Arabidopsis thaliana: one gene and its partner. The protein of the gene in region 1 interacts with the protein of each later gene in a pairwise test. Each region holds a gene or a part of one and is shown in the gene's direction. Other genes may lie near its edges.

Region 1 (6,382 bases):
AAAATGAAAAACTAAAAGTTTACAAATAAGAAACAGTTAGCTTTGTTTATGGGTTCAAAACGGGGGGAATAAAGACCTCGAGTTGACCTTGTAAATAAGAAAGTGGACGAGAGATTCTTGCGGCTTCCATGCAGATTTTGCCTAATCATCATTAACACTACCACCACGTGTGCACGTCTTTCAGATTTAATTGTACTTTTCAAAAGAAATAAATTTGCTATTTGAAATCGAATAATGTAATTTTTATTATTTAAGTAATACTACTTTCAGTTCTAGATCTTTAACAGGTTCGATCACTACAAAAAATGATTGATTATAACGCTGAAATTAGTGGAAGATATCTGTTGGGCTAGCTATCAAAATTGGGCTCTATATTATTAGCCTTGCTAGGCAAAAGAACGTTATCTCTTTTATTGGCAAGACTCATCCATTGACCAAGCCCATCTTATGTTGTGCTTTATTTTTCTGCATGATTATTGATTAATGGTTTGTTTTGAGTGTTTTGGAGCTTTCTTTTTGTCATTTTATCTTATCTTTTCCCAATTACTACCAACACAATTTAATACAACGAAATAAAATATGGTAAAAATGTTTTGACCTTTTTTGTCACCAGTATCTGATATTTATTACTTATTGAAAAACCAATTGTATTTAAACGATAAAATGTCTTCCAATTTCCACCATGCCGCTTTCCATAAGACTAACAAGTCTGACAATTCCTTCATGTTCCTATGCATATCATTTGATATGAATATTACAGAGTTCTTTCAAAATCATTGATATGAAGTACAAAAAGTTGGTTATGGATTTTTTTTGTTCTCAAGACAATAATCTATAAACGAATTTTTGCCCTTAAGAACTCGGCTTAAGACTAAAGAAAGTCATTAGAATCCTATCAAATGATTCAAAAGGCATGTAAGCCTTTTTTGGGTTTATGTTAAATATATTCCAAACCAAATAGCATCCACACAGATGATTGTTTCAATGTTTGCAAACTTAAGACTTAAAAGATATACCAAATGAAGCACGAGCATTTAAGTAATTTTTTTATAAGATAATACGATGATTGATGTCTTACTGTCTTAGATCCCACGACAGGTTCTATATACATATATAGACGTTAAGTGTATTAAATTAAGCTATTGAATAGTATAGAGTACTTTATTTACTCTTAGCTTATCGGATAATGGTTAATCTCATATAAACAGAAGTTATCAAGCGACAGGACACAAAGGTTTGTTTAGTTAAAGTTACATGCATGAGAATGAATAAATTAGACTATTAGGATTCCTCCTATTACTTAGGATCTTTATGGGGTTGATTCATTCTATGCCAAGGATATTATAGATTTTTGAACATTTTTGACTATATGACATCTTTTGTCTCACAAGATATTGTTGTTTAATTACTTTGATCATATGAAGATATTGTTTCTAGAATGCATATGGATGAACAACCATTAAGTATATGCGGTAATACTGATTATAGGAAAATACGTTATAGACAGTGTGATGAGAATTAGGAACACAATTGTGTTAATGAAAAAAATTTGTTAATTTTAACCAAAACACTATTAGATTCCTCGATAACCTTGCCCTTTTTCCTTGTCAAGATTACCTTAACCTAATTTTAAGTCGACGTAAATTAATTTTCACATAATTTGTTAATGATATTTGATATTCAAGATACAATGAAAAAATACTCTGAAATTTCACATAAATAAAACATAATCAAAACATAATAAACACTTGACAACAATTTTAGTCCAAAAGGAAATCAATTCTCTTTCGTTCATATACAAAGTAACAGTAAGTTGTAACTTAGAAAATTGATCGAAAATTTGACTTGGAAACCCTAATCATTTCTAAAAATATAAATATAAAATCTCTGAAATACGTAAATTATAATTTTTTTATCATGTTATTTATATTTGTTTGTTACTTCTATATTTACATTTGTATTTATTTTTATTTCATATAGTTTATATATATATATTTTTTTCTATTTACAGTTGTTAATTTTTTTTTTTGTTATAATATAATAAACGATCGACATAGCTCGTGATAAGATAATGTTATTTTTGTTCCCCATCATCCTTAAGCTATATTAATGGTCCACATTCTATAGAGGTGAAGCATGTGACATCGTATTATATCTATGCACAAACAATAAATTCTTATCCCAAAATTAATAAACACTAATAAAAAATATTCTCTTTAAACTAATTATTATTTTCTGTTAAGTTCTCTTGAAACTAATTATGAAAGCAAGCCTTTTTTTTTGCCAAACTATAATTTTCCCCTCGATTATATGATCAATAGAGTGGTCCAATAAATTGTTTTGAAGTTTAGAAATAAGCATTAAGTAGGTATAATATTCTATATAATTCTTCTCACTTTATTGCAAGCATCAACATCGTCCCAAGTTTTATATAAAATGGTCCATAAAATTTTAAATCTTAGTATTTCGTAACAACTTGATACCAACCTCTCTGTATAGCTGCTTAATTTTCTGGTATATGATCTGTGTCCATCCCTACTAGCTTACTACTTTACTACTACTTCGAGCAGTTACTTATTTGATTTTGTAAAGAATCCATTTCGTTTTTTTTTTTTGGCACATGAAAATTACCCATAATGGTCAAATTCAATACTATTAAAAGTGAGGAAGAAACGACATGAGTCAATTTGTTACACTGGTTTATTATTTAAAGAATAGAAATCCCAAAAACGTCTCAAGTTTCAACTCTTTCTATGCTGAGTTGTATTGTATGTATGTATCTAAGTATCTAACTATAAATTAAACGAAATACAGACAATAAATTAATCGTGAATAAAAAAAATTCTTAATAAACATCCAAATATCAATATTTTCTTGGAAACTTATCTCCAAATGGAAACAAAAATCCTAATAAACGTAACCATGATTAAAAGAAAAGAGTTGCATAAACATCCAAAGAAAAACAATACTATTATATATATAAAAAATCCAAATCAACATGAAGAAAGTAAAATGATTCCAAATAGACATCCAAAAATCATATTTTCTTTAAACTTTTTTTATTGGTTTTCCACAAATGAAAATAGAATAAAATAGTGTCTCTGAATTAAGACGGAGTCGTAACAAATGACATAATGGCCGGTCAAATAAACCGCCAAAATTGTTCTGTTATAATTAAGACTAATTTCTGAGTCAAAAAACTTCTCTTGTTCCCTTAAGGGCCTTAATCACTATTAACCTTAACTAGTGACTTAATCTCAAACTTATAACACACCTTTCACACATCAACAACACCTTCTTCATCATCTCCTTTCTCTGTCTCTGTCTCTCTCTTCTCTCTCAAACCTGTAATCATGGCAGCTCCTTTGTTGATGATCATCAAGAACCAAACAGATCACCGACAAGATCCGAATCCGAACCCGACCCACCTTTCCTCTTCGATCCAAGAAGCCAAATCAATCGCCAAAATATCTCTCCCACTGATCTTAACCGGTTTACTTCTCTACTCTCGCTCAATGATCTCAATGCTCTTCCTCGGCCGTCTCAACGATCTCTCTGCTCTTTCCGGTGGCTCACTCGCCCTCGGCTTCGCTAACATCACGGGTTACTCTCTCCTCTCCGGTCTCTCTATCGGCATGGAACCCATCTGCGTTCAAGCCTTTGGCGCCAAAAGATTCAAACTTTTAGGCCTTGCTTTGCAAAGAACCACACTTTTGCTTCTCCTCTGTTCTCTTCCCATATCTATCCTCTGGCTCAACATCAAGAAGATCCTTCTCTTCTTCGGACAAGACGAAGAAATCTCAAACCAAGCTGAGATCTTTATCCTCTTCTCTCTCCCTGATCTGATCCTCCAATCTTTTTTACATCCTATCCGTATCTACCTCCGATCTCAATCGATCACTCTTCCTCTAACCTACTCTGCTTTCTTCGCAGTATTACTCCACATTCCGATTAACTACCTTCTCGTTTCTTCTCTCGGTCTCGGCCTTAAAGGAGTCGCCTTGGGAGCAATCTGGACTAATGTCAATCTCCTAGGGTTTCTAATCATCTACATAGTGTTTTCCGGTGTTTACCAGAAGACTTGGGGAGGATTCTCAATGGATTGCTTTAAAGGATGGAGATCTCTAATGAAACTAGCCATCCCTAGCTGCGTCTCGGTTTGTTTAGAGTGGTGGTGGTATGAAATCATGATTCTTCTATGTGGATTGTTACTTAACCCGCAAGCAACCGTGGCATCTATGGGAATCTTGATCCAAACCACCGCTTTGATCTACATTTTCCCTTCCTCTCTGAGTATCAGCGTATCGACACGTGTCGGGAATGAATTAGGTGCGAATCAGCCTGATAAAGCGAGGATAGCTGCGAGAACCGGACTTAGTTTAAGCCTTGGTTTAGGTTTATTGGCAATGTTTTTCGCTTTGATGGTGAGGAATTGCTGGGCAAGATTGTTCACAGATGAGGAAGAGATTGTGAAGTTGACTTCAATGGTTTTACCGATCATCGGGCTTTGCGAGCTAGGAAACTGTCCTCAGACCACATTGTGTGGAGTGTTGAGAGGAAGTGCGAGACCTAAGTTAGGAGCAAACATAAACTTGTGTTGTTTCTACTTTGTGGGAATGCCAGTGGCTGTATGGTTAAGTTTCTTTAGCGGGTTTGACTTCAAAGGACTATGGCTCGGTCTATTTGCAGCACAAGGCTCGTGCCTGATTTCGATGCTGGTCGTGTTGGCTAGGACTGATTGGGAAGTTGAGGTTCATAGAGCAAAAGAACTCATGACTAGATCATGTGATGGTGATGAAGATGATGGTAATACACCGTTTTTATTGGATTCTTTGGATATAGAAGAAAATCTTGTCTTCTAGTTTTGATTTATTGGCACTAACGAGATTCGTTTCATTGTACACTCTTCTAATTCATTATTCTAGGAGGAAACATTTGATTGTTGGATTTTCAAATTTATGTTGTGAGATATATATTGGATTTTTTTTAAAATGTAATGTTGTTGATTTGATTTGATTGTAAAAATATACTTTATTAGTATTAAACCTCATGTCATTTCAAAAAAAATATCATGGGAGTGATTTGTTGTCATGAGAATGACTTTAGAAATTGAATGTGTAAACATAAAACTATCCTTTTCAAGTGGTTCGAGTGTAATATATATGAATCTGGTTAAGCAATTAAAGGACAAGATAGAAGTTGGTTTCGTTGCCGGGAAATTCTTATGCAACAAGAAAATAAAAATAATTATTAAACACCATGTTTAGTGGTCCTCCATAGGCGCGTGACGTTTAAGGCGCGTGTAAGTAACGTAACGGAAAGAGTTGTGAAACTTTGACGACGGCGAGAAAATACTAATGTCTCCGTCAAGGTCGTCGTTTGTGACAGCCGACGCCGTGAATGACCCGGTCTCTTTGTCGTCTTCTTCGTTTACTCTCTTTTCTTCCACTAACCCGACCCGTTTCAGTGTATGTTTTTCTTTGGGGTGTTAAATTCACATGAGGTGACAAAATACCAAATTAGAGTTCAAATCTGAATAACAAAATTGTGTCCACTTGGTTATAACTTATTATAAGAATATGATATTTTGCATTATAGACTATTAAAAATGTAACAAACTTCATGGTGTGGTGGCAAGGAACAAAAAAGGCCCATAAGGTGAAACATGAAGAAAGGAGAATTAGTTATGAATTTGCCACTAAAATCAAAGCTATTTTCCTCAACTGTCCCAACTTGCTTTTATATAACATTAGCTTCTAATGTCCTTCATTCTCCATCACCTCACTTCCTCTTTATACTCTCCCTTCAATTATTGTCTACATTTAGATTTTTAACACAACTGAATGACACTATAATGATTTAGAAACCAAATTTGAACTTCTATACCCAAACTTTTAACTTTGAATATGATGAGAATATCATATCATTTTGCAAATCTGGTAAATTTGATATCCACGATCACAGTACTATCATATGAGATGCGTGAAGAAGGAATAGCACATCCAACAAACCAAGATGTATATCGGTGGAGAAAAAAAAATTACTTTCAAAAGCCAGCCTTGGATTAAATAGACCAATAAATGTTTAGGGAGTAACAAATTCTACGAAGAAAAAGAAGAAGACATATAAAAGAATAAATTATGTAACCCCAATAGAATAATACCAATTCTAGATCAGCTCCAAGAACAATGCTTCTTGTTTGCTCGTTAAACCGATATCGTTTAGAGTCGATGAGCATTCTCCATCTCCAAAAGCACGCCGAGGATATGGCCTTACCTGTTTTTGATCACACAAGAGTTTATCAAATCAACTAAAAGATGTCTCAAATGAAAATTTTTATTTAGCATTTTATGGCATAAACCACTTACCAGCCTATAAGTGT
Region 2 (9,211 bases), on another chromosome or scaffold:
TTAGATGGTTTTGTTTTTGTAGATAAATTTGGCTTTTAGTTCCCATCAACATTTCTTCCATGGGTTTAAGTGTTGATCATGAGCTTAACAAGTCATTAGCTATATCAAATTACCAAAAGACTGATTCTCAAAACCGATCAAGAAAGAGCATCATTTTATAATCTAACTCGTGTAGAGTACTGAAATTTTGATTTGGAAATTAATTCTCACCGACTTAACATGGACCAAATGTACTTGATGTGCACCGACTTAACATGGACCAACTTGGTCGATATCAATACAATTCTGGACATCTAGAGGACGCTTATGGTACGTTGATTAGGCTTCCCGTGTGTATTTTGCTTGTGATCTCGGCATTCCATTGCCGAAGGTTCGAGGATGCGCGCATTCTTTCGATTGAACTATCTACAAACGCACCCAAGCTTGATGACGCTGATGACAGGAAAGCAATCCATTATAAATCCTTATGTGGACGAGGCTTAGCCAACATGGCTTTAGGCCACTATTACACAGCCGCTGTTTTGGTACGTAAACTCATATAGATATATTTATGTTTTGTTTATAATTATGTTTGGTATAACTTATATTCATCAATATTTATTGTTTTCGCAGTTTGCGCATTTGGTCAAATGCTATGCCAAGTGGTCAAAAAACTCTTTTGACCTCTTTACTTGGGAGGATTTGTTCATGTACACGGCATGGTGTGGTCTTGCCACGATGAAAAAAGATGAGCTTGAGGTAATACAATATTAATCGATTATATATATATAAAAATAAATAAGCCGACTTGTAAACTTTTTTTATTGATGATTTTTTAGGAGATTTCTGAGAGGATGGGAAGTCAAAAAGTTGGCCACCATTTCCAACACTTGATTAGAAAAACTCTTGGAGGGTAATATATAACTCTTAAAAAATTTCTATTGAATACACTTGTCGGCAATTAAACAAGCTTGGTTTATTTGTTGCAGGATGTTTAAACCACCATGCTTGGATTTTTTGAAAACTCATTCAAAACCAAAGCACTTTTGGACTTATACCTCCACGACCATGTGAATGCTCTTGAGATCCTCATCCAGGAGAAATTTAGGGTGTGATGCATGGTTGCTTTAAAACTATCTAGTTTTGTCTTTTTTGTAAGGCTACAGTATTTTCTTGTCTCTCTTGGAACAAGAGTGTTTGCAAGTTTTCTTTTATATTCAAGTGTGTTGGACTTAGAAAAGTTTGAAAAATCGTACTCAATATCAACAACGAATCCTCTTAAGATGGTTTTGTTTTTGTAGATAAATTTGGCTTTTAGTTCCCACCAACATTTCTTCCATGGGTTTAAGTGTTGATCATGAGCTTAACAAGTCATTAGCTATATCAAATTGCCAAAAGACTGATTCTCAAAACCGATCAAGAAAGAAAGCATCATTTTATAATCTAACTTGTGTAGAGTACTGAAAATTTGATTTGGAAATTAATTCTCACCGACTTAACATGGACCAAATGTACTTGATCATTTTCAATATAACAAACTAGTGCACCGTACCGTATTATAAAGTCTTTATGTATTTTTTTTTAATATAAAAACATTTTCAGATATATTTATTTCCAATAAATTCATTTATTTTAAGAAATTAACCAAAAAGAAATAAAAATGAACAAACATATATAAGTATCTTGATTAGAAGAAGCAGGAGACAAACCCTAGATGAGTGAGTCCGAGGAAAAGACATGCAACGACGATCCAAAGCAGCCGACACTTGTCCGAGACCTGGTTATATCGATCTTGGATCGCTTGAGATTCTCTGATTTTCATCGAGCCAGATGCATTTCTTCAGAATGGTATTACGCCTCGAAATCGTGCATCAGAGTAACAACTCCATGGATCATAATGTTTCCATACAACACAGATTGGAAAGAAAATTCATCATGTAAGTTGTTCAATCCTCGTGACCATAGTTGCTACACTTTAAGAGATGTCGGGTTTGATCTAGCTAGTAGTCGTTGTTTGGCCAGTTCCGGTAGATGGTTCCTTATGTTAGACCATAGAAACGATTTTCATCTCTTGAATCTGTTTACTCGAGAGAGGATTTATCTTCCTTGTCTGGGTGCAACCGATGGATGTCCGATAGAATTTTGGAGAATCAATAATAATAATTTTTGGGTGACTCTCAATGACCAAAACAATTCTGCAAAAAAAAAAAAAAACTTCACATATGGTCATGTGTCTTAGAATAGGCAAAGCTGTTTTGTGGGTAGATGAAGAAACCAGAGACTACTTAGTTGTTTGGAATTATGATGGCTTTTTTGCATATCACAAGAAAGGAGATGACAAGAATAACTGGAAAGTGATTCAACCTTTAATGAATCAACGATGCGTGGATATGGTGTGTAAAGAAAGCAAGCTTTACGTGCTTACTGATACTCACGTCACTGTTCTTGATTTCTCCCACGCTGATGCTTCTCCAATACAATGTGCAAGTTTCAAATCTCCGAATTATGGTAATGATTCGTTTTGCGGCAAGAATCTTGCTGTGACTTTGTCAGGACAAGTTTTGATCGTTATACACAGTGGGGGTGTCTACAAGATGGATCCTAAATCATTAGAATGGAGCAGAACCAATTCTTTAGGAGACGAAGCATTTATTTTTGATCTAGGAATAACTGTTGCAGCCAAAGATGGAGTTATGAAAAATTGCATATATTTTTATGCTGACCCGCCTTATCGACCTAGGAGGAGGTTTGTACGCAATGCTGAAAGCGGTATTAGCGTATACCATATTAAAACCAAGAAAGTGGTCCAAGTGTATCAACCAGCTCTTACTGCTTCGTCTCCAATATCTTTCTCTTCTGCTCGATGGTTCTTAAATAGTTGCTTCAAACCTAAATCAAGTTTTGTCTCTTGGTAAAGTTTGGAGTATTTTCTTTTGTTTTGTACTGGAACAAGATTTGTTGCAACTTTTCTTTTTTATATATTCAAGTGTTTTGGACTAAAGGATTGATGAATTGGAGATTAGACGGGTGATTATTGATTGTCTATAACATTTGGGCGTAATCTGTTATAATTTACATTACCGTTCTGTTTTTGGTAAAGAGAAGATCCACATGTCCATCAATTTTTACTGTGACATTGTAAAAAAAGTAAAATCTGTTAATCTGTTTTTAAGCTGAGGTGCAGATAAATCTCTTAGGATAGAGAATTCATGAATCAAGAGTTGCCCATTGCACAAATTAGCCCAATTGTTAATAAAAAGGAAGAAATAAACAAAATCACAAAAGTCATCTAAACTTTGAAGAATCTTTACCAACGAGAATCTCACAAAAGTTGGAATCGTGCACGCCTCTCGAGTTATCTCCGGCTCCGATACTCCATCTGGTGGATTCTGTAGAAGAAAAAATTTCAATCTTTGTTGGATTTTCTGGGAAAAACTCAGATGGGTTTGCTCTGAATCGATTGGAAAATCAAACCGGTGTGGACTCTGCAAAGTTGGTTGATATGAACAGTCTTGTGAGAAGAAAACAAGTTGATTCTGTTCATCTTATCAAAAACGATGGACCTCATCAGCTTGCCAAGAAACTATCCGCCGTTGATCTTGTTGCTATTGGTATGAGAAAGCTTCAAGCTTTGGCCAATTTTGATCAAAATTCCTTATGGGTGTTGATTGTGTTCCTTTCGGTGTTAATTTGTCAGGAGTTGGGACAACAATTGGAGCAGGAGTGTATATTCTTGTGGGAACGGTAGCTAGAGAGCACACAGGACCTGCTCTTGCTGTATCATTCTTCATTGCTGGAGTAGCTGCTGCTCTCTCTGCCTGTTGTTATGCTGAGCTTGCTTCTCGTTGTCCATCTGCTGGGAGTGCTTATCATTATGCGTACATTTGTCTTGGAGAAGGGTATATATATATGGATTTTAATAGGATTGACCTTGTTGTTCGTCTTAAAGCTGATACTCATGGATTTTCTTATTTCATAGGATTGCTTGGTTGGTTGGTTGGGCACTGGTGTTGGATTATACAATTGGTGGATCAGCCATTGCCCGTGGCATAACTCCAAATCTGGTATTTGCCTTTGAGTTATATGTGTTTGGTTTCAGTCAAGAAGTTAATCACTTAGCTCCTTTTCTTTCTTTTTTCAAAACTATTCTCAGCTCTAATTCTCAAACCCAAGATGCACTTGTTGTAAAAACGTTTTTCTTTGGAATATAATTTAACATTATTTTCAAAAAAAAAATATATGTATTTGTGGTCTTTTGTTGATTTAATTCTGACTGGTGTTTCTTTTGTTTTAGGCATCTTTTTTTGGTGGTTTGGACAATCTTCCTGTGTTCTTAGCTCGACAAACTATACCCGGGGTTGGTATTGTGGTTGATCCATGTGCTGCACTTTTGATTATGATTGTCACGATACTACTATGTTTTGGGATAAAGGAGGTACTTTATTGAAGACATTTTAAATGGATTCATTTCAGGATTATCAGATCGTCTAATAGTGTTATACCGGGTTATTTTGTTCTTACAGAGTTCAACAGTACAAGCAATTGTAACATCAGTGAATGTTTGCACCTTGGTTTTCATCATAGTAGTTGGTGGATATTTAGCTTGCAAGACTGGATGGGTTGGATATGATCTCCCCAGTGGGTAATTAGCCTGTTCTCTTCTCCATTGAGCGTAGCTTTTGTCAAAAGTTATTTCTTAAAGTCAATGTTTAATACTTGTCTTTACAGGTACTTTCCTTTTGGACTAAATGGGATACTTGCCGGATCTGCTGTAGTATTCTTCTCATACATTGGATTTGATACTGTAACTAGTACGGCTGAGGAGGTATACAGTTTATTGAATAATACTCTCATTCTTTTTGATTTATTATCCTTCTCTTTTCTCTACAAAGGACTCACTTTGACGATTCCATATAGAACTAGTAATAAAGGATGATTTTTGGTCTTAGTATAGTGAACTTTTTTTCCATAATTCTGGCGATTTTCTCTGTTAAGCTCTTAACCTTTTGGTATTGCCACAACAGGTGAAAAATCCTCAAAGGGATCTTCCATTGGGAATCGGGATTGCATTACTGATATGCTGCATTTTGTATATGCTTTTATCAGTAGTTATTGTTGGATTGGTCCCATACTATTCATTGAATCCTGATACTCCTATCTCCTCTGCATTTGGAGACAGTGGGATGCAATGGGCAGCGTAAGTATGATACATCTCTTGACACTCAAATTTCTTTGTATTAATTAGTCACGATGCATATACACATACTTCCTTTTGTCTTTGCTTTTTTTTTTCTTATTATTCCTATATATTTCAGGTACATCTTAACCACTGGGGCAATAACTGCTCTATGTGCGAGTTTGTTGGGTTCCCTTCTGGCTCAGGTACTAACCAATTCTATCGTTCTGAAAATCCAAGTTCAAGAGATTTTGTAATTGAGATATCTTAGTAGTAAAAGTAACATGCTGGTTCTGTGTGGGTTTTGGAAATGCTTACATGTCGTTTTGACAGAGCTTTGTATTTTTTTTTTATTAGCCACGAATATTCATGGCAATGGCTAGGGATGGATTGTTGCCAGCTTTCTTTTCAGAAATTAGCCCACGAACTCAAGTACCAGTGAAAAGCACAATAGCTATTGGTGTTCTTGCCGCTGCACTCGCATTTTTCATGGATGTTGCACAGTTGTCCGAGATGGTAAGCTGGTATTTGCCTACATTACATGTCTCAAGTCTTAAGGAAGGATTTTCACCTACAATTAGTGGCAAACAGAAAATTGAGGGTTCATTATTAGTAGTATAGTTTTGATATTGTTGAAGCAGTTAGTATTATATAATTTAGTTGAGACACGCCTAAACACACTCTATTACGGTAACAGATCCTTCTCTGAGTAGCTCACATCGGTAATTTATCCAACAGGTTAGTGTAGGCACTCTAATGGCATTCACTGCCGTTGCAGTCTGTGTGCTAGTTCTTAGATATGTACCACCAGATGGAGTTCCCCTATCATCTTCCTCCCAAACTTTGAGTGATACCGATGAAAGTAGAGCTGAAACTGAAAATTTTCTTGTGGATGCTATAGAATCTTCTGATTCCCCTCTACTTGGAAATGAAACTGCTCGAGGTACTAAAATGTGCTCAATCACGTAGTTACCATTTGGATATGTTGTAAAGATACATCCAACAATTCAATCTTTTCTGCCTTTTATCTGCATTTAAGAAATATGACTTTTTTGCTTCTTTTTAATTGAACAGATGAAAAGTATTTTGGAAAGAGGAGAAAAATTGCTGCCTGGAGTATAGCTCTTGTGTGCATAGGTGTCCTAGGTCTTGCTTCAGCAGCTTCAGCTGAGCGTCTTCCAAGGTCGTTTCATCATCTGATATCTTATGTCTGTATAACCCGTCCTGCATATATTCCCCACATCTAATTATGTCTACTAAACAAATCTATTTAGTTTGGTTGAGATGCTTGATTAGCTGTGAACGATATCACTGCTACTTGCATGTCAAAGCGGTTAAGTATGCTCAATTAGAAAATGCATTCCTGTTTCAGAATTTTGTGAAGCACTTTTCAACTTGCTGTGTTGAAAGATTTGCATGTTATTATCTTTGTAATATGGTTATGAACTCTAATGGGTTATTTCTTGACTTTTGCAGTTTTCCTCGTTTCACTATATGTGGTGTCAGTGCAGTCATCTTGCTTGGCAGTTTGATTACTCTTGGCTACATTGACGAGGATGAAGAAAGGCACAACTTTGGACACAAAGGAGGTAAGGCCTGAACCTTATTCAAGCCTTTTTTTTTGCCTACTCATACATCACAAAATGAGAAGTTTAATTGAATATAAGATTCAGCGAGCCATCAATTGGTTGGTCTTACTTTCATCAAAAACGCTGCTTAGTTATTAGTTTCTTGCTGAGTTGGTTATTACCTGGTTAGGACGAAAATTTTGAGGTTTTAGCAAAAACCATAAACTTGGATTTATACTTGAGCAGCGTTTTCTAACTGGCATTCTATATATGATTCTATTTCAGGGTTTCTCTGCCCATTCGTCCCATACCTTCCAGTTCTTTGCATTTTGATCAACACCTACTTGATCATCAACATTGGGTGAGTTAGTCTGATGGACCCATGTATGATTCAGTATATTGGGATGTTTCTAAACCCTTGCTGGTTATTTGTAATGGCAGAGCTGGGACATGGATCAGGGTCTTGATATGGCTACTTATTGGAAGCATGATCTATATCTTCTATGGCCGATCTCACAGCTTACTGAACAATGCGGTTTACGTTCCCACAATGACTTGTACGAGAAAAACAACAGATCATCTTGCTTAAGATTGGTGGATCAATGCTGCAGTTAAAGGGACTCGAGCTCAAGCTTTGTTGTTGCTGAAGTAGCATCTAAAGAGAATTAAACAGTTTGGCACAAGAGTAAACACAAGCCAATATATACAACAACATTTTATGTACATTGATAGTCATTCCATTTTCATGTACACAAGCCAATGTATATCTCTTAAATGCCAATTTCATGTTTTATTCCTTTTTCCATTTCCAGTTATAAAGTTTGCCAATATTGGTTAAATGATCTTGAAACTGCCAAGTCCATCTAGTAAGTCGAAACATAACAAAAACTGGGAAACTTTGATACTCTGCAGATAAAGAGTGCAAGAACATTTAAAAGTTGCAGATCATCTTGCTTAATATGGGCGGTTCAATGCAGCAGTTAAAGGGACTCGACCTCAAGCTGTTGTTGCTTGTACAGGCTTAGAAATATATGTGCTCTTGTTGTGAAATGTATCCAGTTATATAGTTTTCTTCACTTAGCTAAGTGATCTTTAAAACTCTTGAAGTTGCCAAGTCCATCTAATAACTCGAAACATAACAAAAATTGGGAAACTTTGACAAGCTGAAGAAAAATCATCTATCCCAAATAAAATTTAGTCAAAAACATTAATATATCAAGTAACCTAAACGGACTAATGAGTTTGCAAGAGAGAAGACAACAGAAAGAACTGATGAAATGTCTGAGAATCTCCCAACATATGACGTCTTCAAAAATGTTATCCTCCTCCACACCAGACTTGCCAACATATATGCACAGCTTCAAGAAACTGCCAAGAAACATAATTACAAAACATTAGAAAAAAAATCAAGAAAAGACATTTGCAACTTGTCTTGTCTCAAGTTTTCAAGATTTCTCAAGTCGCACCTGTGGTTCCGTTGGAAGAAACTCTCCTCCTTTCGTAATGAGTCTCACGAGACACAGATATGAACAGTGATCTTGTTTGCATTCCACTAGCTGATTGTAGCTTCACCGTTGACTAAACTTTCTTCGTTGGTACTGCTATTGCTATTCATTGTCTTGTCACTACTACCACCAGTTGCTCTCCTTACATCTTTCTTCTTCAGGACAAGTTCATCCCCAGATGAAACCTTTGATGCTCCTGCAGCTGCACGGTCCTTTGACGAAGTATTTACATATTTCCTTTGCGAACTCTTGTCTTTGGTAGAATCACCTGCCGGCTGTTGTTTCTGACTGTCTTTGTCTGTCTCTGATTCGGGAAGTAAAGCCCGTACACTAAGTCGAAGCTGACCCTTTTCATTTACCTGCATTATCCATGTTTCTTTGTTCAACAACTCTCTAATTATCATTTCCGATTAGTTATATTGTCTCTTGAGTTATAAAGACACAATAACTCGCTGACCTCTATTAATTTGACGTCAATGCGGTCTCCTACTTTATAGGCCTGAAAGGACAAGAATGAGCGTATGTGAAAACCTGAATAAAAGATGAAACAATTTCTATAAAGGAAGGGAATCAATGAGTAATGCTCACATCCTCTGGTTTTGCAAGCCATTCAGCACTCAGCTCACTGATATGGCAAAGACCTTCCCGCCCAGGCGCTATCTCTACAAATGCACCATAAGGAGCCATTGACTTGATTTCACAATTCCTGATACAAAAAGAAAGGTAAGAATCCAAATCTATTTACGCTTTTTGGTCAGAGAAGGTATATGAAGGATACATACCTGTAGATATCACCAACAGAGGGAACCATTGTCAATCCACTAATAATCGCTTTCGCCCTTTCTAGACTCGCTACATCAATTGCCATAATTTTGACCTTGACAAAGATAAATATTAAGAAGTTAGGATAAAGAATACCCAATAAATATAAAATCACATTTTTTTGCATGTATATCTCACAGTTCCATCATCTTGCATGTCAA

Evidence for each region. The genes of interacting proteins can lie anywhere in the genome.
Region 2: the proteins of AT4G23030 (region 1) and CAT4 interact in a protein complementation assay, tested with the Arabidopsis thaliana proteins (one large-scale study listed by BioGRID).

Annotation. Positions count from the first base shown.
Region 1 is NC_003075.7:12,069,504-12,075,885, forward strand, and holds AT4G23030 (MATE efflux family protein), read left to right. Parts: upstream 1-3,256; 5' UTR 3,257-3,353; coding exon 3,354-4,862; 3' UTR 4,863-5,077; downstream 5,078-6,382. Other genes in the region: AT4G23040 (Ubiquitin-like superfamily protein), read right to left, coding at 6,169-6,276, 6,369-6,382.
Region 2 is NC_003074.8:923,971-933,181, reverse strand, and holds CAT4 (cationic amino acid transporter 4), read left to right. Parts: upstream 1-3,179; 5' UTR 3,180-3,481; coding exon 3,482-3,590; intron 3,591-3,676; coding exon 3,677-3,878; intron 3,879-3,958; coding exon 3,959-4,043; intron 4,044-4,273; coding exon 4,274-4,414; intron 4,415-4,502; coding exon 4,503-4,621; intron 4,622-4,707; coding exon 4,708-4,804; intron 4,805-5,003; coding exon 5,004-5,176; intron 5,177-5,294; coding exon 5,295-5,361; intron 5,362-5,512; coding exon 5,513-5,671; intron 5,672-5,893; coding exon 5,894-6,098; intron 6,099-6,229; coding exon 6,230-6,338; intron 6,339-6,631; coding exon 6,632-6,744; intron 6,745-7,008; coding exon 7,009-7,084; intron 7,085-7,164; coding exon 7,165-7,312; 3' UTR 7,313-7,626; downstream 7,627-9,211. Other genes in the region: RIF10 (polyribonucleotide nucleotidyltransferase), read right to left, coding at 8,276-8,587, 8,686-8,727, 8,817-8,934, 9,011-9,105, 9,189-9,211. UniProt on the Arabidopsis thaliana protein: Permease involved in the transport of the cationic amino acids.